Mus musculus: one gene and its partners. The protein of the gene in region 7 interacts with the protein of the main gene of each other region in a pairwise test. Links are inferred from orthologs where the notes say so. Each region holds a gene or a part of one and is shown on either strand. Other genes may lie near its edges.

The links.
Region 1: the proteins of Cep70 (region 7) and Suv39h2 interact in a two-hybrid assay, tested with the Homo sapiens proteins (2 studies listed by BioGRID and IntAct). The link is inferred for Mus musculus from reciprocal best matches to the Homo sapiens genes CEP70 and SUV39H2.
Region 2: the proteins of Cep70 (region 7) and Nol12 interact in binary tests that used the Homo sapiens proteins (3 or more experiments, as listed by UniProt). The two-hybrid records come from large-scale screens. The link is inferred for Mus musculus from reciprocal best matches to the Homo sapiens genes CEP70 and NOL12.
Region 3: the proteins of Cep70 (region 7) and Sytl5 interact in binary tests that used the Homo sapiens proteins (3 or more experiments, as listed by UniProt). The two-hybrid records come from large-scale screens. The link is inferred for Mus musculus from reciprocal best matches to the Homo sapiens genes CEP70 and SYTL5.
Region 4: the proteins of Cep70 (region 7) and Zcchc10 interact in binary tests that used the Homo sapiens proteins (3 or more experiments, as listed by UniProt). The two-hybrid records come from large-scale screens. The link is inferred for Mus musculus from reciprocal best matches to the Homo sapiens genes CEP70 and ZCCHC10.
Region 5: the proteins of Cep70 (region 7) and Ddx6 interact in a two-hybrid assay, tested with the Homo sapiens proteins (2 studies listed by BioGRID and IntAct). The two-hybrid records come from large-scale screens. The link is inferred for Mus musculus from reciprocal best matches to the Homo sapiens genes CEP70 and DDX6.
Region 6: the proteins of Cep70 (region 7) and Nkapd1 interact in binary tests that used the Homo sapiens proteins (3 or more experiments, as listed by UniProt). The two-hybrid records come from large-scale screens. The link is inferred for Mus musculus from reciprocal best matches to the Homo sapiens genes CEP70 and NKAPD1.

What each region holds. Positions count from the first base shown.
Region 1 is NC_000068.7:3,472,187-3,476,587, forward strand, and holds the start of Suv39h2 (histone-lysine N-methyltransferase SUV39H2), read right to left. Parts: upstream 2,801-4,401; 5' UTR 2,761-2,800; coding exon 2,517-2,760; intron 2,026-2,516; exon of another isoform or gene 1,846-2,025; coding exon of another isoform or gene 1,834-1,845; intron 462-1,833; coding exon 316-461; intron 1-315. UniProt on the Homo sapiens protein: Histone methyltransferase that specifically trimethylates 'Lys-9' of histone H3 using monomethylated H3 'Lys-9' as substrate.
Region 2 is NC_000081.6:78,933,275-78,937,934, reverse strand, and holds the start of Nol12 (nucleolar protein 12), read right to left. Parts: upstream 3,003-4,660; 5' UTR 2,946-3,002; coding exon 2,860-2,945; intron 2,780-2,859; exon of another isoform or gene 2,296-2,779; coding exon of another isoform or gene 2,241-2,295; intron 2,127-2,240; coding exon of another isoform or gene 2,036-2,126; intron 1,457-2,035; coding exon 1,351-1,456; intron 802-1,350; coding exon 753-801; intron 128-752; coding exon 1-127. UniProt on the Homo sapiens protein: Multifunctional RNA binding protein that plays a role in RNA metabolism and DNA maintenance. Participates in the resolution of DNA stress and the maintenance of genome integrity by localizing to sites of DNA insults.
Region 3 is NC_000086.7:9,958,214-9,962,156, forward strand, and holds part of Sytl5 (synaptotagmin-like protein 5), read left to right. Parts: intron 1-1,800; coding exon 1,801-1,979; intron 1,980-3,519; coding exon 3,520-3,619; intron 3,620-3,943. UniProt on the Homo sapiens protein: May act as Rab effector protein and play a role in vesicle trafficking. Binds phospholipids.
Region 4 is NC_000077.6:53,323,183-53,327,705, forward strand, and holds the start of Zcchc10 (zinc finger CCHC domain-containing protein 10), read left to right. Parts: upstream 1-1,506; 5' UTR 1,507-1,518; coding exon 1,519-1,559; intron 1,560-4,086; coding exon 4,087-4,245; intron 4,246-4,523.
Region 5 is NC_000075.6:44,628,610-44,632,552, forward strand, and holds part of Ddx6 (probable ATP-dependent RNA helicase DDX6), read left to right. Parts: intron 1-31; coding exon 32-160; intron 161-1,414; coding exon 1,415-1,531; intron 1,532-2,773; coding exon 2,774-2,837; intron 2,838-3,943.
Region 6 is NC_000075.6:50,614,543-50,619,046, forward strand, and holds the start of Nkapd1 (uncharacterized protein NKAPD1), read right to left. Parts: upstream 2,923-4,504; 5' UTR 2,686-2,922; exon of another isoform or gene 2,116-2,685; intron 1,018-2,115; 5' UTR 1,010-1,017; coding exon 941-1,009; intron 1-940. Other genes in the region: Pih1d2 (PIH1 domain-containing protein 2), read left to right, coding at 3,467-3,487, 3,904-4,107.
Region 7 is NC_000075.6:99,295,285-99,298,509, forward strand, and holds part of Cep70 (centrosomal protein of 70 kDa), read left to right. Parts: intron 1-728; exon of another isoform or gene 729-742; coding exon 743-889; intron 890-991; coding exon 992-1,160; intron 1,161-2,294; coding exon 2,295-2,409; exon of another isoform or gene 2,410-3,218; coding exon 3,219-3,225.

The DNA of each region.
Region 1 (4,401 bases), on a different chromosome or scaffold from region 7:
GGTTCCTGCCAGTGATAGGAAATAGGATTCAGGAACAACACGAATTGCAGGACAAACCAATCAGGCCTAACAAATTTGCTCTGGGAATCCATATGCAAACAGTCAAGAGTTGGATGCAGGATATAAACACCCTAAATATTCTAATGCAAAAGCATTTGACGGTTCAGAATCCCCTCAGTGTTGACCGAGTAACTCTATATCTTACAACGTTAAACAAGAAGAGCTTCACTTATATTGAGGCTCTTTTTATGTTAGAGAAACATGAAACACTGCAGTGTGGACAGGTCTCTGCCAAGGGGCTGGACATTGCCTTACCTTTGCTACCTTGTAGTCACACAAGTACTCCACCTCATAATTGTTTAGATTCCTTTTGGTGATTCCAATCGATTTACATGTGAGCTTTTCTTTTCTACATAATTCCTGGAGAGTATCAAGTGAAACTAGGCAAGGCACACACCAGGCTACAATAAGAAAATAGAATTCTTTACCAATAAAATAGCTACTAGGCTGAAACAAAAACTTAAAACCCTCTCAACTGACAATGTTATAGTCTAGAAACACATATAACAAGAAGCTACATATGTGTGTTTAAGAAAAAGTTATAGGATAAAGAACTAGTTTTGGTAAATTGGTTTACTTTCCAGTGGACATCTATCCCACTTTTACCCACATTGCCTAATTCTTGCTTGGCTAATTAAAATATTTCACATCTAAAATTTCTTAGGGTTACATATAAATGCGAAGGTAAAATGAAGTAAATTTTTTTACACAGAATAAAACTGTTCTCCTAATAAACAGCTAAGACATTTTGTTAGAAATATATCTAAAAGATATTCTAAAATGGCCACAACTTAAAAGTAACTTCACTTCTTTTAGTCAGATGATAAGAATTTAAATATGAAATCCATATCCTACTTTTTCCATTTTGTAAAAAGTCGAGAGATTTTAGCTTCATTTATTTTGTGCATGGTAAAATGTATTTTCATCATGCATAAGCCAGAGAATTCTACTTTAAGTGGAGAGCATAGTGAGCTTTGTAATACTTGTTTCCTACAGTTTTCAAGCCAGCAGTTACAAAACAGAATACAAGGTGGAAATATTCCATAAGCCAGACTTGAAAATCAGACATACTAAACAATACCCGTACGGAGGCCAGAAATGAACTGTATTACATCCTGGATTTAAAAATATAATCACACAACTGATGTCTAGAAAAATGTAACAAACTTCACTACCCCTACTATCAGGATAAATACAAGATGATCAAAAGTCCTCTGCTCTACCCGTTGGTGGGTCACCTAGCTACACAACTTTGGGAAAGTCCCAATCTTTTTGTGTATGGGATTCACTGGAAAAAAGTGTGTTTTGTTGAGAACAGAGGTGACCAAAGAAAATGTATCTCTAACTCATCAAGCTGTCTTTAGTTCTCCGAAGTGGTGGGCAAAAACCTTTTTAAGGTAAGTTTCCAGGAAGGGACAGCGTAACCGCTCAAATTTTCCCCGCAGTCCTTCCTCATCCTTCCCAGTAAGGACTTCATTGTCAGAAACCAGTGAGGATAGCTTCCGAACTCCAGTGACTGCAAACAACTCATATTTCTGGCACCTGCAAAAAGACTTTCCTTCAAATTTGCCAGAATACATTTATTTGCTTAGGTGTGGCGGTTTGGAGACAAGAAAGCTGTAAAAAACGTCTCATAAATCGCTTCTAAAAATCTTAAGGCTGTTTTGTCTTAATGCTAATCTCCTTATGCTAATCATCTGCAAAGGAGAGTCCTCTTGTTTATGTAACCAAGTTGTTTGCTGTTTTATTTATCTTTTCAATTTTTACCCCTAGCTGAGAATCTGAAAACACAACACTATAATGGAGGGTGGTGTTGAATCGGAGGATCAACGTACATATATTCGTATGAAAACGTCATAACGAAGCGTTACGTGTAATTACAATGCACCGCCCCTCGCAACAGAAATGCTACATTTTGGGGGCATCTCGAAATGTTAAAAAGAAAAATTGCCAACACTTGGTTTACAAAATCCCACAGCCAAAAATGATGAGAGGAAAACGCCTCATTGTCTAGATTATAACATCCCGTTTATAAAAACCATTCCACCATCCCATCCCCACCACGCTTCAAGGAGGCAAGAGCTACCTACGGGAATAATAGTGTCACCATCTGGGTGGAGCGGAGGAAAGAGCTGGAGAACAACCTTTTCATTCCAGAAGGCTTTGCACAACCCAGACTTTCAAAGGGCGCGCGACTCGAGCGCACGCACGCGCACTGCGTGCCCCGGCTTCAGCATCCACAGAAATAACCTGCAAGTTCCAGCCGGGCCCCCCAAAGTTTCCCGGAGCTCAGGGCTGCGTGTGCAGGCGCTTCACGGCGAGGCCAGACCCGCTCGAACGCAGGCACCAGGGGATTCCCTTTCTCCAGCACCGCACCTCAGCCCCGCCACCACCCCCAACCCCCGGCTCGGAGGTGGCGACCGCTACCGCCGCAGCGCGTGTGCTTTCCTGCTCACCCTTGAATAAGGCACCTCGTGCACACTCGTCGCCAAAGACCGCGGCCCGCGGAGCTCCGGACCACGCTCGCTGGGAGCCGGCGCGCCTCTCGCCCGCAGACGGCCGCGAGCGTCGCGCCGTCAGGGTCTCCGCGCGGCGGCGTCTCGCCGTTCGCCTGGCCTTGGGCCTCGGGGGCGGACCTGGAGCCCGGTGACACCGCGCTCCTGCCTCACTGCCCCGTGCCTTGGCCCTGGCCGCCGCCATCTTGCGGAGCTTTCATTCAAACTGGCGCGGTCAGCCCGAAGAACTCAGCTGGCCACACGCCCCGCCCCGGCCCGCCAGGGACTCCGGAGCGGGGAGGCTGAGAGGAGCGAGGCGTTCTGACGTCAGCGGAGACCGACCCCTGCGGTGGTAGCTACCGCGCCTGCGCCGCACGGTGGGGGCGGGAAGGGGCGGGGCCTTCCGTGGAAACTGGCCCTGCCCGTCGCTGGCTTGTTACTCGCTTTGACTTCGGAGGTCGCTTGCCATGATTCTTCATGCGGTCCCCTGAGTCGCTTCACAAAGACCTGACGTGCCCGCCACAAAACGCAAAATAGGCTGTGCGGGGTTAGTGTGCGCAGGTAGCTCCTTTCCCACTCTTGTTCCTCAGCACTTCAACCCAACGAAGCCCCACTACTTTTCCTTTCACTCCACACCACCAGGACTCAGGATCTTAAAATTTGACTGCATGTTGGGTTCACCTGGAGAGGTGCTGTCTGTTTAAACCACTCAAAGAGATTCTGATGAGTTGATGTGGCCATGTAGCAGCTGGACTCAAAGGAAAAGCCTGACAATTGTGAGAATCCAACCAACCCCGCCAAGAACCCTCTTAGTTAAGGCAAACGTAAAAGGTACACTTAGGACAAGGACTTACTAACATTAACAGACTTAAGCTGAGGGCAGGTTTTAGCCATATATGCTTGGGGAGAGTCAGGTCGTTCTCGGTTTTACCACTGTAAATCTGAAAACTTGTAAGAGGAACCATTATACACAAAAGACCATCGGCAATTCTGTAAGCCAGTCATGTCAATGCTATTCACAAGCACATACTGCCTGTCTTCTCTTCAGCCAAAACAGCCTAGCTGCCTTGACCTCTCCATTGCTCCCCTTCCAGCCACTTCCCACCCAGCTAAGGAGACTTTAAAACAGAAAATGAAACAAGCCTCAGACTTGCTTTGTCTGAGAAGCATGTTCAAGTCCTGACCCTTTTGCTTCCACTTTGGTGAGCTGGAATTACAGGTGCTAGCCAAAGCTCCCTTCTCCCCCAATAAACACTTTAAACTGGAAATCACGGTCTAGATCAAAGAACTGACTGACTCCCCTTCATGTGCTGCTCCCTCTCACGTGACTAGATTTAACTCAAATGTTACTTCTTCAGAGGCCACTCAGGCATTCTGTCTGGCTTTGTTCTCTAGCTCTTCTTTAAAAGCTTTTGTCAAAAAACGGTCAGGGTAGAGTCTTACAAATATTTTTGGTCTTGCTAAGTTTTATTTTAAAAATTGGCAAAGGATGCTGGAAGCAGAGGATAGCTTGGTGGAATAGCAGTTGTCTGATAGATCCAAGGCTCTGTGTTTTTTTGTTTGTTTTTTAGACAGGGTTTCTCTGTGTAGCCCTGGCTGTCCTGGAACTCACTTTGTAGACCAGGGCTGGCCTCGAACTCAGAAATCCACCTGCCTCTGCCTTCCGAGTGCTGGGATTAAAGGTATGTGCCACCACTGCCTGGCTCCCTTGTTTTTCTTAATTCTAGGGCATAGAGTAGAGCCAGCCACTCCAACCTTCCTCAGTGTCTACTCTCTATTCTCAGAGTGTAGAAGAGTAGGCCCGAAGCCTCTCAGGAAACCCATGAACACAGAACCCCAGTCTTCC
Region 2 (4,660 bases), on a different chromosome or scaffold from region 7:
CCTAGCAGCCGGGCCCCTGAGAGGTCCAGGTCACTGATGGTGGTCACAGTGACTGTGTGATTGGGGTGGTCATACTGCACCGACTCTGTCTTCGCTGTCACTAGCCGCTCCAGCTCATCTGCCTCCTCTGCAAGGTGGGCACAAAGCAGTCGTCAGGCCTGGCTTAGTCCAGCCTCTTTCCTGGCCCTGGTGGGCCGGGGACTAGCACACGGCGAGCGGTCCTCAGGCCTGTTTCAGTCCAGGCTCCATCCTCCCTCCTAGCCCTGGCGGGATGGGACTGGCACACAGTGAGCGGTCCTCAGGCCTGGCTCAGTCTAGCCTCCCTCCTAGCCCTGGAGGGTAGGGGACTGGCACGTGGCGAGCTTCTCCAGAGCCAGTCCGGCTCTCCTTGTATCTCCCTGCCTCTCCCTTTCTTCCCTAATCTACAGAGTGGCCCAGAGCCCCGCCCACGGGTAACCATGGGAGATGAACCTCTCATCCCTTTGTGCTCCTGCTTGTCCCTGCTTTGGAGAAACTGCGCGAGGGCATGAGCTGTCCCATCCCTGGCTCTCTGCTCAGTCTCAGTTTACCATATGGATTGGGTGTCCAGCTCTCTGATCCGCTTGTACTTAGACCACCCTTGCCCCCACACCACCACCAAAATCTCCACAGCTAAGAAACTCACTCTCCCACCCTCACATATTCCCACTTAGGGGACACAGAAGCCCAGGCTCACTGGGTGCTCACCACGTGAAGCCTAGATAGAGACTTACCCAGTGCTTCCTCTCTTTCTGCCAGCATCTTCAGGTACTCCTGGTGGCGCTGAAGCCCAAAGGGAAGAGGTGAAGGTGTTAACTGTTAACCTGACCAAATCTAAGATGGCCTGGGAGATGGGCCTCTGAGCATACTATGCGTTATTATCGTGATTTTGTTTACTGAGATGGGAAGACCTGCTCACTATGGGTGGTGCCATTCAGTGAAGAACCAGCTGCTTCAAGCTCCTGCCACCCTGACTCTCCTGCCAGGATGAACTGGGTGCTTGAACTCAGAGTAAACCTTTCCTCCCTTATGCTGCCTTTTTTTCAAGAGTATTTTACCACAGTCACAGAAAAAGCCACTAAAACGGAAATAAACACAGCGAGAATGGCCTTTCGGTCCACACATGGGACAGCCCTGTGTACTCCCATCGTATGAGAGCATGGTTCACGGAGCAAATTCTAGAGGAGACTCATCCCTCACACGCGGATCCCCAGCGTCTCTATACGCTGCTCCCGTCACACTCACACTGCGGTCCCATAGCTGCCTCTAGCAGACCTAGCCAAGGCTGGCCCTCCCCTGGGAGGTGAAACCCTACCCCACCCTCAACCACACCTCTTCCCGAAGTTTCTTCTGCTCTTGCTTAAGCCGCTGCTTTATCTCTTCAATGGCTGCCTTCTTGCGCTCTACCTTCCGCTTGTGGAAGCCTGTCAGGTACTCCCTGCAAGAAGGAAGAAGGGGAGAAGCCAGGGGAGTCAGGAGGAGCCAGGAGGAAAGCAGGGCTCTACAGAGCTCCATAAGTTGCCTGACTCTCTCCTACCCACCAACCCATTTTACCCTCTCACAGCCAACCCTTAATTTATAGATGGGGACTCTGAGGAAGAGACTAGGATACTCATCCAAGGTCACAGACAATGCAGTCACAAGTCATTCAATGACAAAGGTACCTTCGAGAAATGAGTTGTGAGTCCTTGCTGGACCATCAGAGTGTACTTACATAATAATCCTGGGTGGTATAACCTACCACACACCTATGCTGGAAGCTATAGTCTCAGTACGCGCTCCATCACTAACCAAACGTCACCTAGCTCACCTGGCCTTCCTGCCCCTTGCTAAGTACACAAAAGGCCAGGTGGTCAATACACAGAGCTGGTGGTCACTGTTCCCACACTGGCAAACTTTATTTCATAGGAGTCACTTCTAGTAAGGCTTTCTAATAATGCCTTCACCCAGACCCCAAAACTCTTTCACTGAACCAACCAACAACCAGTCCTCAAGGCCACCTGACTCCTGAACCCACCTGGGTCCTGTGTGGCGGGTCCTAGGAGTGCCCCCACCTTCCTGACTCGTGCTTCCTTCTTCCTGTCTAATCTCTGCTGTTCCTGAGTTTGCTGTATTGGAAGTTAATTACGCTTAGTACCTTATTCGAGCTAGGCAAATGGTCTAATAAATTAATTCGTTTATATTGTCTTGGAGACAGGGACAAATTGTCCAAATGCCCATACCGTTCTTGAACTTTCCCGCACAGGGTTTTACTTTGCAATCCTCCTGCCTCAGCATCCGGGATGGCTAGGATTATAGGTCTGCACTACCAGGCTTTGCAATTACGGTTTCCGTTGGTACACTACACCAGGGGTTTTAACTGTATTTTGCTACTGTTATGGATCGTAATGTAAATATTATCTCTTTTCCGATGGGTTTAAGGGGGTCGCGACCCACAGGTTGAGAGCCATCAGACCACAAGGTGCTATTTACGGTGACACTAAAAAGCAGTTCAGCCTCTGGTCTCAGGCTTGGCTGGCACGCAGTCTGGTGCGTGAATCAATGAACTAAACCTCTCTCATCCCATCGGCTCGTCCTTCGTCAACAACGACTGGGAGCCAGCTATGGGCTGTGACAATAGACGGCGCGGCACTCCGGTGGTCCAAGGCGCAGCGCTGAGAGCCGTAAACAGCGAGGGAGGAGCGGGCGACTCCATCCCCCGAGGTGGGGAAAGAGGAAGGCGAGCTCCAGCTACATCCAGGGGCGGGGCCGGAAGAACCCTCCGCGTGGGCGTGCGCGCCCTGTGCCTGGCGCGCTTCCCCCGGCAGCCCGACGGGAGTCTCTTTCCACCCTGCCACTCACCGCCGCTTCTCTTCATCAAAGTTGAGAACGAGCCGGGGCCGCCGGTCGTCTCCATCTCTTTTCTTCTTCTTCTTGTTGCGGCCCATTGCAGTGAAGCTTCCGGCAGCGTGGCCGCTTCTGACTTTAAAACACTTCCGGGTGTAGCAGTTTCAGATTTCCGGTAGGGCGCTCTTCGTGGCCTTGTTCCACAGTTCCGCAGATTTGGCTCCACCTTTTAAAGGAGCCTCCCGTCCTGCCTCAGCTTTGGTTCAGGTCTTCTGAACAATCCTCCCAGAATGGCTTCGGTGAGAACTAGGCTCCCCGATTCCATCATCTGACCTGCCTCGAACAAGCGCTCAATCTGGAGTTATTTATAAACCGCTAAGAATTACTGAACTTAATTGAATTCAGATGTCAACTCTTTCATGATTTCCTTGAGCGAGGGAAACTGCCTAGATGCAAACACTGGTATTCCTTTACAAAGTATGTGACTCAAAAGCAATTGCCCCCCTTTAAAAAAAAAAGATTAAATCATAAATTATGGGCTAGGGGAGGTGGCATACATCTTTATCCCAGTACCTGAGAGGCAGAGGCAGGTGGATCAAAGTCAGCCTAAGCTACACAGTGAGTTCCAGGACAACCAGAGCAGAGCTAGACAATAAAGAGACCCTGTCTATAAATAAATAAGTAAGATTAAAAAAATACTGTGCCTAAGTGAGTTTAGGTCTACTGTATGAGGACCTACAAGGCCAGAAGACGGTATGAAATCCCCTGCAACTAGAGTTACAGATGGGGGCTGGTGAGATGGCTCAGCAGGTAAGAGCACCCGACTGCTTCCGAAGGTCCTGAGTTCAAATCCCAGCAACCACATGGTGGCTTACAACCATCCCTAATGAGATCTGACTCCCTCTTCTGGTGTGTCTGAAGACAGCTACAGTGACTTACATATAATAAATAAATAAATCTTAGAGTTACAGATGGTGTGTGAGTCATGTGGGTACTGAGAATCAAACCTTGGTCCTCTATAAGACAAGTAGGCACTGTTAACCATTGGAGTCATCTCTCCAGCCCCCAAATTGCCTTTTTCTTTGTGTCTCACTTTCCTATTTATAAAATAGAGATCATTGTAGTGACTTTGTAAGGCTGTAAAGAGGTGGCCCTGGAACTCTGGCATGCACTTAAAGGCTTGCTGAAATCCAAATTGAGGGTTCAGGGTTCAACACACTTGGCAGGGCCCCAGAATGTCCATTTCTAGAACATTCTCTGGTGACCCTGAATATTGCTCCTGCGTGCAGCAAACTGAGAGCCGTGACTGTGGTGGGACAAGTGTGTCGGGTCAGAAGTGCATAACACAATATTCTCCCAGACTCAGTTGGTGCAGAGGGAAATCTCTGAGTTCGAGGCCAGCCTGGTCTACAGAGTAAGTTCCACGACAGCCAGGGCTACACAGAGAAATCCTGTCTCAAAAAACCAAAGCCAAACGGGGTGGGGGGAGAGCAGGGATTGTGCCAGTGATCAAATGTGAGCTAGATTGTCTGAGCTTTGGTGTTTGGTCTCCCTTCCCAGCTTCCTGGCCACTCCCTCAGAAGCTAATATGTCTGCTCAGAGAGGTGGGAAGCAGGCTGTGATAATGAGCCTCACTTCCACGTAGGTGTGGCACTCCATGAATGTCTGATTCCTCCCACACGGGTCCCCCACTCGGAGATTCTATGCTGGATGCTGAGAAGAAGTTATCTTTAAAGTGTGGGTCGGGGCTGGAGAGATGGCTCAGTGGTTAAGAGCACTGACTACTCTTCTGGAGATCCTGAGTTCAAATCCAAGC
Region 3 (3,943 bases), on a different chromosome or scaffold from region 7:
TGATGGACATGTTCCACCAGTCCTGGAATGAATACACACACACACACACACACACACACACACACACACACACACACACATATGTGTGTGTGTGTGTGTGTATATATATATATATATATATATACACATATATACACATATATACATACATATATATAATTTATATATGTATATATATGTATATATAATTTGCTTTAGATTGAAGAAATTGTTAAAAGCTCAACATATCACAAATGGGAATCCATTGGAAATATAAAAAATAATATTAATAATGACACAACAAACTGCTAGTTAGTACCTTGCCTCTTCTGTGTAGTGTCTGATGGATGCTGTGTTTCCCTTTCAAATCTTCAATGATATACACATGAATTTACAATGGTACCCTGGGATATAAGCACACATAATTTGGGTCCTTAAGTTTTAGATATCTGTCAAAATATTAAAATGTCAGACTATTCCAGACTTAATCTTCATTTAAAAATGATCCTCAGGTAATTTATTATGTAATTAAAGCTTAAAATTCATGTTGCATTATTTTAAGAATAGGAAAAACAAATTCAGTTACTTATTGGCTTTCTAAGAAATAGCTTGTATGCAATTTTAGAGTTCTTGGATTATTGTTACCTTTGACTTCAGCTTAAAAGAGATTATGAGCTAAGCCAGATAGACCCTGTTCCTTGAAGAAATACATCATATTTAAAATACAAAGTCCTTCATAAAACAATAACAATAAAATCCATTCATAGACAGGTAGACAGACATATAGTAAGATAAATAGATAGAAAGATACATAGATATGTTCATATATCCACACATGATTTATAAATTCATATATCCAGATATGATATATGACAGATAGATGTTCCATATATAGCTTTCATGCCTACATACCTATCTTTTAAAACAAATCCCAAATCTCAGCTATTTGTACTGCTATGGTCCTTGCTTCTCTGTGGTGAAAAAGAAGTTATGAAACTACTGCACCATTCACAAATGTTACTGGTCTTTTGTGTCCATCATGTTACTACGATAGTCTTTGTTTCTAGCACTGAATAATAATGCTGTATTGACTTAAAATATGCATCTCAGGTTACAAATATCTTGACAAAAATCTTTACTCATCCTTATAGAATTTTTTATGTTTTTGGTTGAGGCACTTTAATTTTTTGGTGCTATATTTTGCTCATTACTATTCCATGGAATATCAAAGCTATAAGTCATGGACTATCTATGTAGCCACACAGCTACAAAGTTAGCCTTGTGAGTATTGAATGTCCTGCCATACCTTTATTAAGGCTGCAGCTGTGGTTCCTCCAGGAGTGACAACATTCACCATTTGAGTGTAGAGAAACACACTTTTATGTTAACTCATAATAATGAGTGAACTCTTCTTTTTCCTGATCATTAAATTCTAGATGTTTAAACACATTGCACTCAAGTCTAGCAGCAAAAGGCAGATAGTGACAGGGATAAAGAAACAAGATTATATTAGAAATCACTAAATGACTCCATACTCACTACAAGACATAAAAGATTTCAGCTAACCCAAAGGAGATGCTTCCTCTTTCAGCAAACGTCCTGCCTCCTTTCCTAATGGATCTACATGGGGTATTCTTCTCGGGTTAGAATTGTATGTACCAGAAGCAAAACAAGCAAAGCTAGTGACTTGCTTTCTTCTCTGGCTTTGGACTCCCCTGCTAGTTACATAGAACAGCAATGAGAATTGATTAATGGGGGTGGATTCTGTGACTAGAGCTTTAGAATAGCACTGAGCCATGTCTACCATCTTTTTTTTCCCAGACTAGCCTTAACAGCATGATGAGTGTTTACAGTGAAACGGGAGACTATGGCAACGTGAAAGTCACCGGTGAGATCCTTCTCCACATCAGCTACTGCTACAAAACCGGCGGGCTATACATTTTTGTCAAGAGCTGCAGAAACCTGGCCACAGGAGATGAAAAGAAACAGAGGACAGATGCGTAAGCACGGAGGATGCCCCTCTACTGTCTCCACAACTGCCTTCTCTGTCTGCATGCACACTTCCTTGTCAGCAGAGGTTAAAGATTCCTTCAATTAAGAGCTCGTCTGAAGTCTAAAGATAGTGTTTGTATCTTTGGTTACTTGATTTGAAAGAAGCCATGATGGAACAACATTATGAGCTAACCAGTACCCCGGAGCTCTTGACTCTAGCTGCATATATATCAAAAGATGGCCTAGTCGGCCATCACTGGAAAGAGAGGCCCATTGGACTTGCAAACTTTATATGCCCCAGTACAGGGGAATACCAGGGCCAAAAAGGGGGAGTGGGTGGGCAGGGGAGTGGGGGTGGGTGGATATGGGGGACTTTTGGTATAGCATTGGAAATGTAAATGAGTTAAATACCTAATAAAAAATGGAAAAAAAAAAAAAAGAAAGAAAGAAGCCATGACATGATTCAGGAGTAACAAACTTGTAGCTTGCACAGAGGCCACTCGTGGTGAAGGCAAGCTGATTGTTTAAAAATGTTGCATAATTTAATTACATTCTTTCCCCTCTTAAAATTCCCAGATCACCCCTATGAACTTCATGTTCTTATTCTCTCTCAGAAAAAAGATAGTGTCGCACGCACACACACACACACACAAACACACACAAACACAAACAAAAAACATGGAGTTGGTCTACTACTCCTGAGCATGAGGCCTCCATTGGAATATATTTGGTTATACCCAGTGTCACTGCATCAAAGAAAGCCATTTTCTCTCTCCCTGAATCTATCAATTACGAATAGCTTCTCAGTTAGTGGTGTGACTACTTTGTTCACCTCCTAGTGTCTAGATTTTAAATGGCTCAGTGACAAATATTTGTCCAGCATGGAAAGGAACCATCTGAAATTCTAACACATGTGCCTTAGAACTCTGGTAAAATATGTTTCAATCTTGTGCATGTCTCTGTCTACTCTGATGTCCCTGTCCCAAGAGGCTTCTAAAAGAGCTAGCTAGCACAAGCCAAGGTACTGGGTTGAACTGTAAATTTGTCATTTTTCCCTTTCTTCCTTTTAATTGTTTCCTGTCATTCACTCACCCCGGTAGTCTATGCCCTGACATTAGAAGATAGAACTGGCAACGAAGAGACATATATCCCCTAGAAAAGGTTGTGAGACTATCGATGCTAGCAGCTTCCACTTATGGAGGAGGACAATACTACAGCTCCTCTTGTGTTTTGTGGGTTAAGTATTGTTACCATGCCACTTTTTACACTTGACAAAACAAATACACAGCAGTGTAAAAACCAAAGACTATCAAAAGGAATGATGCCTGGGTGGTCCCACAAAGCCTGTTCTCAAACAATATTCATCACTGTTCCTTCCTTATAGAAAGCTCAGCATTATATTTATGATATTCGATTGTACAAACTAAAGTCTCTTCATTTCCATCTCTTTTCTCCACTAACCCATTCCCTTTTCTAACTGAAATCCTGGGATATTTCTAGCAGAGTATATTTGCAAAAATGATGATTTTTATCTTTTGTTATTTACAGTTATGTCAAGTCATACCTTCTTCCAGACAAGTCCCGAAACAACAAGCGTAAGACCAAAATCAGAACGGGTACCAATCCAGAATTCAACGAAACATTAAAGGTAAATAAATGCTAACATAGGAACATGTTAAGTAGAACTTCATTGATTTAGAATTAACTACACTCAAGAAGGTTGGGACAGGAATATTGTTAAGAGTTCAAGGCTAGCCTGAGATAGCATAGTAACATCCAAGCAAGGCTGGCCTATAAAATGAGACCATCCCAGACTGAGACCATCCCTTATATCAAAATACAAACAAGCCAAAAAGAAAAGAACAACTAAATGTACCATTTCAAAACGCATGCGTGTGTGTGTGTGTGTGTATGTGTGTGTGTGTGTGTGTGTGTGTGTGTGTGTGTGTGAGGGTTTTAGAAAACTAGAATT
Region 4 (4,523 bases), on a different chromosome or scaffold from region 7:
TAGAAGTTTTAAAAAGATTTTATCTGGGAAAACAAATGCCTGAACGCAATAAGTCAGGTATGGGCTGGAGGAGGACTAATGAAGAGTGATTTGGTTTTGTAGATATAAAAAAAAATTTTTTCAAGACAGGGTTTCTCTGTGTCGCCTTGGCTGTCCTGGAACTCACTCTGGAGACCAGGCTGGCCTCATATTTGCTATATAGCCCAGGTTGGCCTTAACCTCCTTGTCCTCCTTTCTCTACATCCTGAATCCTGATTTTAGAAACTTGTGTCATAACTTGGGAATTAGACTAGCCTGAGCTAAGTTTCTGGCCAGCCTGAAAAATTAAAGATGTTATCTTTAACAATTAAAAAAAAAAAAAAAAAAAAAGAGGGGCCTGGAGAGATGGCTCAGAGGTTAAGAGCACTGACTACTCTTCCAGAGGTCCTGAGTTCAATCCCAAGCAAACACATGGTGTTTCTGTCTGGTCCTGTCTCCCTCTCCACTCCCCTTACCCCTCCTCCTCTCTTAAGACTCAACCAAACTGAGTAGAATTCAGAGATCTGCATGCCTGTGTCTCCTGAGTGCTGGGATTAAAGGAATGTGCCACCACACCTGGAACTAAATTTCTTTACCTGAAACTTTCTCTGTACCATGCTGGCCTGGAACTCATGTCTGTACTCCCATCACTTATGATTGATTCCTTTCCAGAGCAGCCATGTTGCTGGATTAAAATTCCTCTACACAGCCGGGCAGTGGTGGCGCATGCCTTTAATCCCAGCACTTGGGAGGCAGAGGCAGGCAGATTTACAAGTTCGAGGCCAGCCTGGTCTACAGAGTGAGTTCCGGGACAGCCAGGGCAACACAGAGAAACCCTGTCTCAAAAAAAGACCAAAAAATCCTCTACGCAGATCTTTGAAAGAAAAATCAAAAACAAAAAAAAAAAAACCAAAACAAAACAAAAAACCAACCAAACAACAACAAAATCAGAATGATCCAGTCATCATGACGACACCTGTAATTTCTTGGGGTTTTTGGTGTTTTGTTTTTTGAGACAGTTTGTGTGTGCAGCCTTGGTTTTCCTGAAACTCCCTGTGTAGATGAGGCTGGCCGTGAATCCCATCAAGTGTTGGAATTAAAGATGTGGGCCATTACTTCCTGGCCTTTTTGGTTTTGTTTGGTTTGGTTTTGAGCTAGGGCCATAAGTTTTCCCAGGTTGGCCTCAAAAACATAGCAATCCTCTTGCCTCAGCCTCCAAAATCCTGGATTACAGGATTTTTTTTTTTTAGGATTTTTTGAATACTACAAAATTCCACTGCATATGTATTACAGACCCCTGGTTTGAGATCACCCTTCAAGACCCTATTCATACTGAACACACAAGCCCACATTAGAAAAGACAAACCAGCTAGTGGCCACCATTAGCCTCTTCTGAATTGAGCCCGTCTGGCCCCGCCCAGGACCGCAGAGGTTTCTAAGGACCCGCCCACCGGTGCTAGTTTCCCAAAAACCCGTGCGGCAGACTCCAGCCGCTCCAAGATGGCGACTCCCATGCATCGGCTCATAGCTCGAAGGAAAGCGTAAGTGAGATGCTTGTGGGGTGTGCAGGAGGGCTGGGGGCGTGCAGACGCCTGTCCGCTAGCTAGTGAGCGGGCGCAGGCTGCTGAACTGAGCGGGATTTGAAGAGAGTTCGAAATGAATCCAAGAATTGGTCGTTGGGTGGTCTGTGTTCCTCTGTCCGGTCCACATGTCAAGGGTAGCCTGGATGCTTGATCCCACATCTTCCCTCTCAAGATCCCAAACTTTTCCCTCTTCAGCGTACCTGCCTCCTTCCTATCGCCCTTTCTAGAAACAAGCCTGTCTGCAATGCCTATTAATTCCCCATCGACCGTTTCACTTTCTGCAGCTCTCACTGTAAATAATTATTTTAGTACAATCACTCACAGACAGTTTCTCTGAAGAAAAATGTATTCAAGCTACGCAGCTTAACAGTTTTATTGTGGAACCTGTTGATACTCTAAACAAGTACAGCTAGTGGTTTAAATAGCTTTGTAGGAGCCGGATGGTGATGGTACATCCAAGCATTCAGGAGGCAGAGGTAAGCAGATTTCAGAATTCGGGGCCAGCCTGGTCTACAGAGTGAGTTCCAGGACAGCCAAGGCTACACAGAGAAACCCTGTCTCTCTAAAAACAAAACAAAGTTAAGCTTTAAAGGGGATAAGAGGCTGTGGTGAGGAAAGGCAAAAGGCCCAGTTCAAGTCAGTTCTAGAAATTCATCTGTGAGGGGTGACATTTGAAAACAGACTAAAAGCCATAGAAAGGACTGAGTCAGCAGAGGATTTGGGGAAAGATAGGAAATGGTATATTTGCTATGAGTCTGTTAGAATTTGGGGGTGGGTTGGGCAGATTTAGAGACAGGATTTGTCTGTGTAGCCCTGGCTGTCCTGGAACTCACTCTGTAGACCAGGCTGACCTCGAACTCAAGATATCTGACTGCCTTCAGTATGCTGGGATTAAAAGCTTGTGCCACCATGCCCAGTTTGAATCTCAGTAACTATCAGTCCTGGTGGCAGATGCCTTTAATCCAAGCACTGGAGAAGCAAAATCAGGTGGAGTAGCACTGAGTCAAAGCCAGCCTGATCTAAAGAGCAAACTGCAGGCCAGCCTCAGCTGTGTAGGGAGACCCTGTCTCCGAAAAGAAAAAAAACCAACCAACTCAATAACTACCCATTCAGTGGTGTAAGCGATGTAAGGGGCGGAGACCAGTTACTTGAACATGAATTTGAGTCCAGCCTGGGCAACATAATAAGACTTCATCTTAAAACCCTCCAGTAATGTCATACCCACTCTGCATGGCTGTGTGACATGCATGTCATGTTGTATTTCTCAGACCTATCAAAAGTCATAATACGAACCTGAAAGGAAACAGTTTATACATCTAATACCTGCATTGCTTCGCACTTTGCTTTTGACCTAAGCTGTGGTTTATGAGTTTAAAACCCGAGTGTTGGGCCTGACGTTGGTGGATTGTGCTTTTGATCTAAGCACTCAGGAGGCAGAAGCAAGTGGGTCTGTGAGTTCAAGGCTAGGCCAAGCTGGGTATGGTGGCTCACACTTTTAATCCTAGTATTGTGTGGCAAGTGTCTTTAACCCACTGAGCTGTCTCACCACCACCATTTTTTATTAGTAAGTTAAAAAGAATGATAGCCAGGCACAGTGGCACATGCCAGCACTTGGGAGGCAGAGGTAGATCTATGAGTTTGAGGCCAGTATGGTCTATAGATGGAGTTCCAGGGAAAAAAATCAAAAGCAGAATCAACCAACCAAATGAACAAGCTTTTTCATTTATGTGTGAATAGGAGTAGAGGTCAGAGGACAAGTCGTTGGGGGTCAGATCTTTGGGCTTACAGCAAACACCTTATCCACCCACCCTTTTCCCAGCCTTAAAAGTGTTTTAATGGGTTAGGGGGTCTGGCTCAGTAGTAGAGCATTTGTGAAGGAGGCTCTGAGTTTGATATCTAGCATTACAACAAATAAGGACCTTCATTATCCTTTGTCTTCTGAGCTAAAAATGTTGGTCCGAATACATGATTATTGGAATGGAAAAACTTAAAAAAATTTTTTTTAAAGATTTATTTCTTTATTATATGTAAGTACATTGTAGCTGTCTTCAGACACTCCAGAAGAGGGAGTCAGATCTCGTTACGGATGGTTGTGAGCCACCATGTGGTTGCTGGGATTTGAACTCTGGACCTTCGGAAGAGCAGTCAGGTGCTCTAACCCACTGAGCCATCTCACCAGCCCAAAATTTTTGTTTTTATTATTTTGCTTTGTTGAGACAGGGTCTCTTGCTCTGTAGCTCAGGCTAACTTTAAACTCAGAGCCATCCTCCCACATTGGCCTGCAAAGTGAAAGACTATAAGCATGAAATACCGGACTGGGCTTAGAAGAGCAAGACTCAGTTCCTGTTGCGCCCCAGGTTGCACGCTTTGAACACCGTTTGTGTGCTTGCTAGAGTCAACATCACGTGATACTTTAATGCTCTTCCAGGTCAGAAAGTGTCCCAAGACAAAACTTAAGGCTTGTATTCTGTTATTTTCTTTGTAGTGAAGCCAATAAGCAACATGTAAGATGTCAGAAATGCTTGGAATTTGGACATTGGACTTATGAATGCAAAGGGAAAAGAAAGTACCTACACAGACCTTCGAGAACGGCAGAGCTGAAGAAAGCTTTAAAAGAAAAAGAAAATAGATTATTGCTGCAAAGGTAGGTTTACATGTAATATCCAGGGGAACTTATAAAAATATTTACAGAATCAGCTGACCTCAAGTTTGCTGTCTTCCTGTCTCAGTCTCCTGAGTGCTGGGATTACAGGTGTGTACCGCCGCATCCAGCTTACAATGCTATCGGCTGGTTTTTAATGAGTGGCCACTCTGTGTCCAGGCCCTATGTGTCCTCTTTATAAGTCTTAGCATATTTAAACCTCAAACCTCTACTAATAAGGTAGCTATTATTAACCTCTTTGTATGCTCACATATATGTAC
Region 5 (3,943 bases), about 55 Mb from region 7:
TACTTAATGACTGTGTTCCCTCCCACTCCAGAATTCCCATCTGCAAAAACCCTACGAGATAAACCTGATGGAGGAACTAACTCTGAAAGGAGTAACTCAGTACTACGCATATGTAACGGAGCGCCAAAAAGTGCACTGCCTCAATACACTTTTCTCCAGGGTAAGTAGTGGGCTTTTGTGCTGAGTCCTGTCCTTCACTAATTCCTAGCAAGTTGGACAATTAGATCATTTTCCCTTTCCTTTCCTTTCCTTTCCTTTCCTTTCCTTTCCTTTCCTTTCCTTTCCTTTCCTTTCCTTTCCTTTCCTTTCCATTCCTCTTCTCTTTTTTTCTTTCTTTCTTTCTCTTTCTTTCTTTCTTTCTTTCTTTCTCTTTCTCTCTCTCTCTCTCTTTCTCTCTTTTTAATTTTATTTTTGACTTTATTTTCACTGTAAAAAATCTTACTGTTTTGTAAAAAGTAGCTTTAATTGGCTTACAGTTGAAACTGATTGACACAGGTGCTTTATATTGTTAAATAATTTACTGTAATTACAGTTCATCCTTTGTGAATACTAATTGCTAAAATTTATTTGTGACCCCCAAATTAGTACTGAAGGTTTTGGTTATTCTTAGACATATACATTGTGGACTTAAAAAAAAAAATGATCCCAGCTAAGGTCCAAGAAGAGGACAGACATTCTGTCTTCTTGTTTTACTTATAAATGCTACAATTGTTTTTCAAATTTTGGTGCTGTTCATCATTCATTCCAAAATGACGGCCTCGCTGCTGCCGACGTGCTTACCTGTGTTCTGAAGCACAGGGGGACTGATGTGTACTACACAGGGAAAACATGTACTGGGTAAACCTCCTGCAGGCACGGGTTATATTGGTTAGGACTATAGACATACTAAATAAGACATGCTCAAAGAAAACACATAAATTGGCATGTTTACCAATTTATAAAATGTCACCAGAGGCTCACAAGTACTTGTCATTTTCTCTAGAAACAGTGTTGTTTTAACTTGTTTGTTTTCTTTATTTTAATGAGTCTGTGTCTGTGTGGGGTTGTACGCATATGAGTGCAGTTTCTGGAAGCATCCAGAAAAGGGTGTTAGAGCGCCCGAAGGAGAGTTACAGGTAGTTGGGGCCCACACTGTGTGAACTGAACTGAACTTGGGTCTTGTTGAATAACAGTGTGTGCTATTCACTGCAGAGCCATCTCTGTAGCCTCAAAGCAGTGGTTCTTATTTGCTGAGTCAGTGTTAGCAGCGGTGTATTGTAGGACATTACTGTGTTGTCTCTGCAAGTTAGGTGGCCCTTATGAGATAATCTTCTCTAGGTCGACAAATTTTCATCTGAAAGCTTGGCTAGATATTTTCATGATTGGATAAACAGATGCTTCTGTCTTTCTCATCTTTCTCATCTTCTGTGCTTAGCTTCAGATAAACCAGTCCATCATTTTCTGCAACTCCTCCCAGAGAGTCGAGCTACTCGCCAAGAAGATTTCTCAGCTGGGCTACTCTTGCTTTTATATCCATGCTAAAATGAGGCAGGTAAGGATAATTTCGAGAACTTGCATAGATTTAATAAAGAAATATTTTCCTAAGTATTTCTTATATTTTCTTTTGTTATAATGTTGTATAAATGCCTTGTGTGTGAGAGTAAACTGTTGTCTTAAGGTAGGTACTGCTGTATTAGTGGTAGAGCAGTGTTCCAGAAAAAGAACAAATGAACGGACTATTTAGTAGACAAAGAGACCTTCACTTAAACCAATAGGTTTAAAAAGCAGTCCAGAAATGTCAGATCTTGGGGCTGGAGAGATGGCTCAGTGGTTAAGAGCACTGACTGTTCTTCAGAAGGTCCTGAGTTCAAATCCCAGCAACCACATGGTGGCTCACAACCATCTGTAGTGAGATCTGACGCCCTCTTCTGGTGTGTCTAAAGACAGCTACGGTGTACTTAGACATTATTATTAATAATAATAGTAATAATAATAATAAATCTTTAAAAAAAAGAAATGTCAGATTGTCCATGAAGTCCTAGCATTTAAAGTAAGTGAAAAGCTCAGAGTCATTATCTGTTCCATACTAAGTTTGAAATCAGCCTGAGTGACATGAAATCCTGTGGGGAGGGAAGGGCACAGGAGACATTCTTTTGGGGGGAATTTCTAAATTTGTTCTGTTTAGTGCAATAACTTTATTACATAGCTCCATGTACCCATTAGACTAGGTAAAAGCAAATACAATTGAAAGGTTTGTTACTTAGTCAAATCCCTGAGGCTGGTGACTCCATTATTGGAGAATACCAGTGCAATTTTTTTTTTTTTTTTTTTTTTTTTTTTTTTTTACAGAATGCACTGCTCTAGATTTTAATATACAGTAACTCCTCCTTACAAAGGAGAGTTCTGAGATCCCATATCGGATACCTAAAATCATAGACAGTACCAGATTGTATGTGCATGCTTGCTATGATGCAGTTTATACATTGGATATGGTAAAACGTTCACTAGGATAATAAAATAGAATAAATATGACACTATATTTGTCATAAATGTTACGTGACTATGATCGCAGCATGGCTTATTATGCCTGTCCTTTTTGATAGAATGCTTGTATGATGGAATGAAGTGTATCATACAGACATTGAGTGATACAGCTCTAGACTGCTACAGAAGCATAGGTAGTTGTGTAAACAAATTTGGGGTTGAAGAACTGATTGGGTAAGAGAAACCATGATGAAAATTTTGAGTTGTCTATAAATTTTACTCAGTTTTTATATATCCCCCTACCCTCCAGGAACATCGAAATCGTGTCTTTCATGATTTCCGAAATGGCTTATGCCGCAATCTTGTTTGCACTGGTAAGTGTTTTTGTATTTCTTGGACCTACTGTTTTCTTAATTGGCTGGTTGGTTTTTTTGTTGTTGTTGTTGTTGGTTTTTTTGTCACATAGTGAAACCTATGTGACAGCTCCTTACACCCTGCTGCCACTTTGACAGCTTCTGAAGACAGGGGTGCCTGCTGTTTAGTTCCTAGGTTGAGAGCAGGTGCTATTCAGTGCCTGACCTTGGGTTCCTCCTAGTGCTCATGCTGCACACGTGGCTCTAAATTAGGTTTTGCATTTATGTGCTTTCTGAACAGTTCTAACATACAAGGTGAGCAAACACAAAATAAACTTTACTCGAAATTACATTTTAGAAGTTGTGTCTATTTGATTTTTTTTTTTCCCAGAATCACATTATTCTATACCGTAAGCCAAGATTTTCTAATTTTTGGTTGTTCTATTACTACAGAAAAATAAGCCTGGGTAGGGAGGGGGAGACACAAATTTAGCTCAGAAACTAATAGAATGGTGCCTTCGCACCTATGTACTTAGAATTTAATCTTACTATTAGTGTGAGAAGAAGAATCATTTGAGGAAGTAGAAGGACTTGGAGTTTGAACTATAATGTATATATTGGTAAATTGCTCATCTTTATTTTTCATGTGAATTTTCACATACGCATGTACCTATACATTCAGATAAAATTGTATTTAAGAAGTTTTGGTTGGCTGGTTGGTTTTGTTTGTTTTTGAGACAGGATACTACTATATAGCTCTTACTGGCCTGGAAATTGGATATGTAGAGCAGACTGGTCTTAAGCTCACTTCTTTTGTTAGCTGGCCTTGGCCGCTTAAGTGCTGAGATTAGAGGTGTGCAGCACCACACCTGACACAATTATATACATAATATATATATACATTAAAAGATTTATTTTAATTTGTGTCTGTGTCTATTCTGTGTCTACCACGCTTGCACAACAGGTGCCTGCGGAGGCCAGAAGAGGGCATTGTATCCCCTGGAACTGGAGTTCTCAGGCAGTTGTGAGCCTGTTGATATGGGTGCTGGAGATGAACGCACATCTTCTGGAAAGAGCAGCAAGTGCTCATGTCCAAGGAGCCATCTCTTTAGCCACCTATTTTAAAA
Region 6 (4,504 bases), about 49 Mb from region 7:
CCCAGTACTTAACACCTAAGTACTATGATGCTGACAGTGATAAGAACAACCAAGCCAGGAGTAGTGTGCTGAAGAAAACGGGACAAAGGATTCCTGATCTTTTTATGTCCCCGTGTTTGTCCTTTGTCATTGTTGTCCCTTCATTACTTCCTTTCCAGTCACAGAAGGCGGTTCTGCTGGACTCCACTCTCATCACAGCATTGCCTCACAAAGTCTCCTAGATTCTGTCTCTAAGCTCCTCGAAACCACTCATCCCATCATCCTCCCCAGTGCCCCTCTCCGTCATCTATCTTCTACCACACTGACAAATCATCGGTCTAAACTGACATATGTGGCAGTCACACCACCTCACCTCCTCAAGGGTAAAACACCACTTACAGGTATGAAACATGTAAGACACCACTCCTAGCTGATGTCTTCTTTATTGCTCAGAAGAGAAAGTTTATCTCCTAAGTGTCAAGAAAACAACTCTAATTTGCCACTTGCGTCTTATCTTCTATCACTGTTCCTATCTCTGACTTCCTAGAAGCAAAATGCCTTGCCCCAAGTGATGACTGATAGAGGGCAGGATGGAATGAGGCTTTGCATACAGGAGACATCATCACTCAAGTACATCACGAGCCCTTGCTCTGTTGCTCTGTATTTGTACAGAGGATTCTCAGTCAAAAGCAAGCAATGCACCTGGTAAACATTTATCCATCAACATCAAGTACCAATTCAAATATCAAAGACCATTCACTCTGTGAAATCATTCTAATTTTCCCAAGGCAGATTTCTTTATTCCTTCCTTGGTACACTAAAGCATTTTGTAAGTATCTTCATGTTACAGTACTTTCAAACTATGGTTGTTTCTTATGCACCTTTGTTAACTCCCTACATAATTCATGGTTTACTGTGTGCCCTCAGGAAATGCTGGCAGTCACTAGGCGGTACTGCCTACCTTATTGTGAGCATCTGTGTGCCGGATGACATTCCTCAAGAGGACTTTCCCCAACGGAACCCGGGACATTCTTTAATCTGAAATGAACCAATAATATGCAATAAATTTATTTTTAGTAAATTATAAAGAAACAAAGAAGTGAAGAAAGAAAAAAAAATCACTGAACTTAGAAAATCGAAGGGAAAATTTTCCTTTCACCATTATGATACCCAACTATGGTGCATGTAAGGATGAAGGGATGATGTACATTAGTCTTTAAAATTGCACAAAGCTGCTCAAAATTTGTTTTCCATGAGCACCATGTTATTCAGTCTTCACGATTCTCTGTCAAGTAGTCAAGATCCATGACGGATCAGTTCCAGGACCCTAAAGGTACTAAATCCAAGTATGGCCTGGTAAAGCATTTGCCTAGCCTAAGAGCTACCCTGGATAAAGTCCCTCGGTGACATCCATGCACACACAAAGCAATCCTAGGGCGCTCATTCCTCTTTTAGACTAGTATAATATTTGTATAGAAACTATGCTCCTGTGTATTTTAAAATAGGACTGTTTTTTTAGTCAGGTTCTTAAGTGGCCTCGGCCAGCCCTTAACTCATCTTCTTACTGCCACCACCTGCCAACAGACATGCTCTTCCAGTTAGGATGAGTGAGGGTATTTAGATTAATTATAATACTTAAAACTATGCAAATGTTATGTAAATGTTACGATGGAGATTAAAATAATGACCAAAGTGGGAAAGGTCTGTACGTGATCGATACAGATACAATATGATTCCCCAGACATTTTCGGTTGGCCTTTTAACCTATGGGGATCCCCGAGTTTGGACTCTACCCCAACTCCTCAAAATCAAATTCCTTAAAGCCGTAACCTGCCCCCAGGCTGCATGGACTCAGGCAACGGGTGTGTTAGTGTCCCGGCTAGAAATCAAATCTCAAAACTCCCCAAAATTCGCTTGCAAAGATATAAACACGAAGATTTGAAGGCATCAAACACCACGTATGTCAACAGTAAAAAAATAAACTGAATTGTAAAAAAGTTTTTAGATGACCTAAATATCTCTACTCAGGACATTTTGTTTCCTACACTGTACGGAACTTTCCAAAACCCAGAAGACAACGATATTCACATGTGTAGCTAGCAGGGGCTTGGTGCCACTGTCCCGATGCTCACTCACCCCTCGATCCTGAGGAAATCAGGCATCCTGTTAGTGTGAGACGAAGAACCACTCCATTACAAGATCTCCTCCGACCCAGGAAGCCAAGGAGTCAGGGCTGAAAGGCAGCTCTGCAGCTTCACCCGAGTCCTTCGTGAAAACGCAGCCTTCCCACCGGTTACTGTGCCCTCCTCACCCGAGGCCCAGGCTACGGCTGCCTTCCCCCAGCCGAGCCCGCCCGGCGGCTCGCTCTCGGGGACCCAGGCCAGAGGAGGCGCAGGCGCGGAAAGCGGCCTGCGGGCGGGCGGACCGGGGCATTCCCCGCTCTCGCTGGGCTGGGCCGGCGCCCGGCGGCTCGCTTTCACTCCCGGGACAGAATGGGGACACAGGGCTTGGGCACGGCCTTCCGTTGGGCCCCAGGAAGTATCTAGAGTGCCTCGGGGGGAGCTTGAGGTTTCCAAGGGGACGTGGGGGAAAGCGCCCCCATGTCTGTCAGCGGGCTCCCTGCCCCGCCGCAGCCCCGGCGCTCTCGGCGGCCTTCCCTCGCAACGCCCTCCCGACACAAACACACACACACACACACACCCATACCGTGCGCCGCAGCCTCGCGTGGCGGGGTGGGAGAAAAGGTGGCGGCTTCCTTCCGGGCCGGAAGTCGTGCTCCGGAGAAACGCTTCCCTCCCACCGGAGACTCCCACAGAGCGGGCTCGCCGGTCGCCGTGGAAGCTGACGGGTGCAGGAAGGAAGGCGGCGCTCTCCCGAGAGACAAGCGGGACGGCCTGCGGAGGAGCCAGTCCGGACCCGGAGAAGAGAACCGGAACTGGATATAGAGACACAGCTCTACTTTGCGCTCTCCGGACCCAGTTAGATGGTGTACCGGGACTGGTTACCATGGTAACCGGAGTCGCAGTTTGTCGGCAAACTGAGAGAAGACGTGCGCGTTTCCCCCACGTTTGGATTAAGTGTGTATTCGTTGTTGATTTAATCTAACTTTAATATATAATTTGAAGACTCTAAACCTCTTTTTAAAAATATTGGGAACTTTCTCTTTTGCAGAAGGAGGGTGATTGAAGGAGGGCGGAATCTTTGACTATTGCTCTCACATAATGTTCCAGCTTTAAATATTAGTGTTCTTAATCCTTATCTTTTTTTTAAAGATTCATTTATTTATTATATACAGTGTTCTGCATATATAGCTCTATGTCAGAAGAGGCGCCAGATCTCATTATAGAATTGTGAGCTACCATGTGGTTGCTGGGATTTGAACTCAGGACCTCTAAAAGAGCAGTCAGTGCTCCTAACCGCTGAGCCATCTCTCCAGCCCCCTCATCTTTATTTTGAGTATATACACTGCTTGCTCAAGGCAACATAGATGTCTGAAGTTTGCAAGAACGTAAGCATACTGGCTCCAGTGCGCCTACTTTTAACTACTATACTGTCTGTCTATGTATCTGTCTCCCCCGACCCCAGTCTCTCTACCCGTCTTTCTTTCACGCACACACACACACCCCTACCTCACAATTCCAGGTCTGGAAGGCACCAAGTCAGCCAATATCCAACTATTGGAACAAAAGTCCTTTCTGTTCCCTCTGTATTTATGAAGACCAGACGGAAGTACAGGTACAACGTAGGAATTTAGGAAGTGGTTCTACTCACAGACTGTAGGAAAGCCAAGATAAAGCAGTATGGGTGTGCAATCTTTTAGTTAAGACCCGCAGCACACTTGCAAAAGCCTTCCTCCTTCCCTGAAAGAAGAAACAGGGCAGTAAATACCTTACATGCCTTTTCTCAAGTCCTGTCTCTCTGCAGGTTCCAAAGGCCTGTCTCATCACCATCATGACGGTGTCCTCAAAGGGTCTTCTTACCCACATTTCCCAGTTCTGGAATATGCTCGATGATTTGGCTGAAAATGACCCCGAGCGCTACCGGAACTTCATTCAGCAGGAGTTGAAAGATGGCAAACAGCTCTGTGTCAACCCAGAACCTCAACTCTGCATACAGACCAAGATCCTAGTATGTAGAACTGATGCAAGGAAGGAGAGGTCTTCAGTAAAACTACTCTGGGTTAGCCAGGGGATACAGTAGCCTTTTCTAGCGCTACTTTAACACAAGAGAAGTTTACTAAAACTCTCTGAACAGAAAATGAAACCACATGGAAGATTTCACTGAAGGAGTAAAAATAAGAAATTCATACTTGGTATTTTAGAAATCCCCTAATGCAACTTTATTGTCCTGATAGGTGGAAAATAGTGCTATAATTAATTAAGGTTTTTTAAATGTATTTTATATGTGTGTGGGTTCAAGAGAGTGCATGTGCAAGGACAGAGGATGACTGGGGAGCAGGCTCTCGCCTTCGATGAGGTGAGGAAAGAATTCAGGCCATCAGCCTGGAGCCAGGTGCTCTGATCCA
Region 7 (3,225 bases):
TTAGTAGTTACAGAGGCTGGAGGAGAGTGGAAAGGACTGTGAGTGGGTGGGGGAATTTCTTTTTTAATCTTTATTCTTTAAATTTCTTATATGTATGGACATTTTTGCCTTGGTGTATGTATGCTTGTGCACCATATGATAGCCTGGTTCTTGAGAAGGTCAGAAGAGGGCTTTAGATCCTCTGGAACTAGGGATGAATGGCTGCGAAGCATCATGTGGGTGTCAGGAACTGAACCTGGCTCTTCTTGTAAGACAAGTGCTCTGACGGCTAAGTATGTCTCCAGCTCTGGGTGTGGGAGTTCTTCTGAGAAGACAGATGAGTTCTGAGCTTATACAGTGATCTGTTTTGTACCACTGTGAAAAGATGAAAACCATCAAACTGTGTACTTAGTAAAGGTTAATATTTTGGTATGTAAATCTCATTCCAAAATTGCTACAAAAATATTTAAAATGTAGACTAGAAATATGGCTCCATGGTAAAATATTTGCTGTGTATATGTGATGGAAAGCCTGGGCTATCTCCAACACTGATAAAATAATTTTAAAAAACAATATAACTACTTAAATAACATTATTACTTAGAACATCCAGACTTGTTTTAAATTGGCAATGGTATTAAAAAAATACTAATGGTGGTTATTATATAGCTATGTGTTTTTAGGCCCCCATGATTACTGTGCTATTAGTGTTACTATATAAACTATTCTATAACCAGTAATGCCATGTAGTTTCTTTTGTTAAGGATTTGTATAAGTCCTTGAAAATACTGTCTGCAGAACTGGTGCCTTGGCATAGCTTAAAGAAACTGGATGAAAAGGAAGGTGTCAAAGTCGGAGATCTGTTGTTTATGGTGGATACCATGTTGGAAGAAGTTGAAAACCAGAAAGAGGTAACGTTTGATACTTATATAATTGTTCTCATTTTAAAGGCTTATGTCAACTATTTAATATTATTTCAAATTGTAAACTACCCTTTCGCCTTCTTTCTATAGACCAGCAGCACGCCGAACTCTCAAACTTTGCAAGCTATCGTTTCTCACTTCCAAAAGCTATTTGATGTGCAGTCTTTAAATGGAGTCTTTCCCCGGATGAATGAAGTGTACACCAGGCTTGGAGAAATGAACAACGCTGTAAGGAACCTTCAGGAGCTCTTAGAATTAGGTGATGACCCTTTGTCATTTGGGGAATCGATTCTAGAATTATTCTGAATAAATTAAAAAGAAGTTTGGGGCTTGGTTTGGGTTTGGGGTTGTTTAGGGTTTAGGGTTATCCTGGGATTTGGTTGTTTTGGGGGGATTGGGGTTGGGGTTGGGTTGGGTTTGTTGGGTTTGGTTTGGTGACAATGTTGCCTTGTTCTCACTGTAGCCAAAGCTGGCCTTCAACTCCTGGTCTTTGTCTTTCACCTTCCAAGTACTCAGATTGCTTGTGGGTACCACCAGAACTCCTATTAATTACACACAAAGACATACACAACACCAAAAAACAAAACCAGCGGGAGGGATGTAGCTTAGTTGGAAGATGCTTGCCTAGCATGCATGAACTCTAGGTTTGATTCTCAGTACTGAATAAACAGGGTGTGGTGGTGCACATATAGAATCCAAGGTGATGAACATCCTCAGGAGATGGAGGCAGGAGGATTAGAAGTTCAAGGTCACGGGCTGTAAGAGCTGCCTCACTGGTTATGAGGCCTTGCTGGGAACTTGTAAGGACTGGAGTTCATGTCCCAGCACCCATATAACAGTGCAGACATGCTAAATCTCCATAACTCCAGCTCCAAGGACTCCAGCACTCTTTTCTGGTTTCCATGTGTGCAAACACATTTGTGCGCACATGTATACATGTGCACACTCATACACACTTGCAAATAAATCCTTTTATTAAAGTTCAGTTCAGGATCATTTTTTGATACATAACTGGTAGGCCAGCCTAGGAATCATGAGACGCTGCTTAAAACAAACCCTCCCTGGGCTGGGAGATGGCTCAGCGGGTAAGAACACACTCTCTGCAGTCCTGAGTACCAAAAGTAGCATCCCAAGCTGGATAGCTCACAAGTGTCTGTTACCTCGCTCTGTGGAGAATGGAAACACTATTATTGAGCCTAGCCAAGAAAATGTGGACTCCAGGCTCAAGGAGATAGTGTGCCTTAAAGAAATGGCAAAGGGTGGTAGAGGGCAAACTAATAGAAATCTTAATCCCTCTGCCACAAAAATAAAGTGAGTACAACTGAACCAGGGTGAGTGTAATGATTTTGGAAATTCTTTAAAAATATCTTATGCTTTCTTTTCTCTTTTGCAGACAGTTCATCATCATTGTGTGTGGTGGTCAGCACAGTTGGTAAACTGTGTGAGATAATTAACAAGGATGTGAGTGAGCAGGTTAAACAAGTGTTAGGACCTGAGGATCTACAAAGGTATTTGTTAGAAATGCATCTAGAGTAAAAGCTCCAAGCTCTCCCAGCCCCTGACTGTCCGTGTTGGCAGTGACAGGGCCCAGGGGTCCTTGAACTCTGTGTAGATCAGGGTGGCCCTGAACCAAAAAAGAGCTGCCTGCCTCTGCCTCCAGAGTGCTGCCACCAAAGATGTGTCACATGTACTCAAGATAAAAACTGTTGGGGCTGTAAGCTCACAAAGGGATGTTGGGAAGTTTAGCAGAACTCACCCTTGGGGAAAGTTGTATATGGAGAAATTAAAATCTTTATAACCAATTCTTGAGTTGGATTATAACATATAATTTATTTCTAGGACACTACCAAAACTAATAATTACTAGTCATATTTTTTTGTTTAGAAGATAAATATTAAGGATTTTTAAAAGACTATGTACCACCAATGTAAAAACCTGATGTTTTAAAAAGTACATTATGAGAATGTGTTTGTGTGTGTATGTGTGTGTATGTATTGTGTTTATATATATGCATATATGTATATGCATATATGTATATGCATATACATATATGCATATATATAAACATATAAGACATATATGTATATATAAACACACACACATGTATCATCTATATATTCTGCATATTTTCCAGTAAGAACCCTTATATAATCTGGCAGTTGAGTTTTTCATACCGTCTCTCAGGCCTCTCCGCTCCTTCCATTGTTTTACTGACCACTGGTACCTTCTGTTCAGTTGAATATTGGGTAAAGAAGCCTATTTCTAGCAGATGTTCTAAAGGTGGTGCTTTTTTGTAAACTGTGTATGTTTTAAACAGTATTATC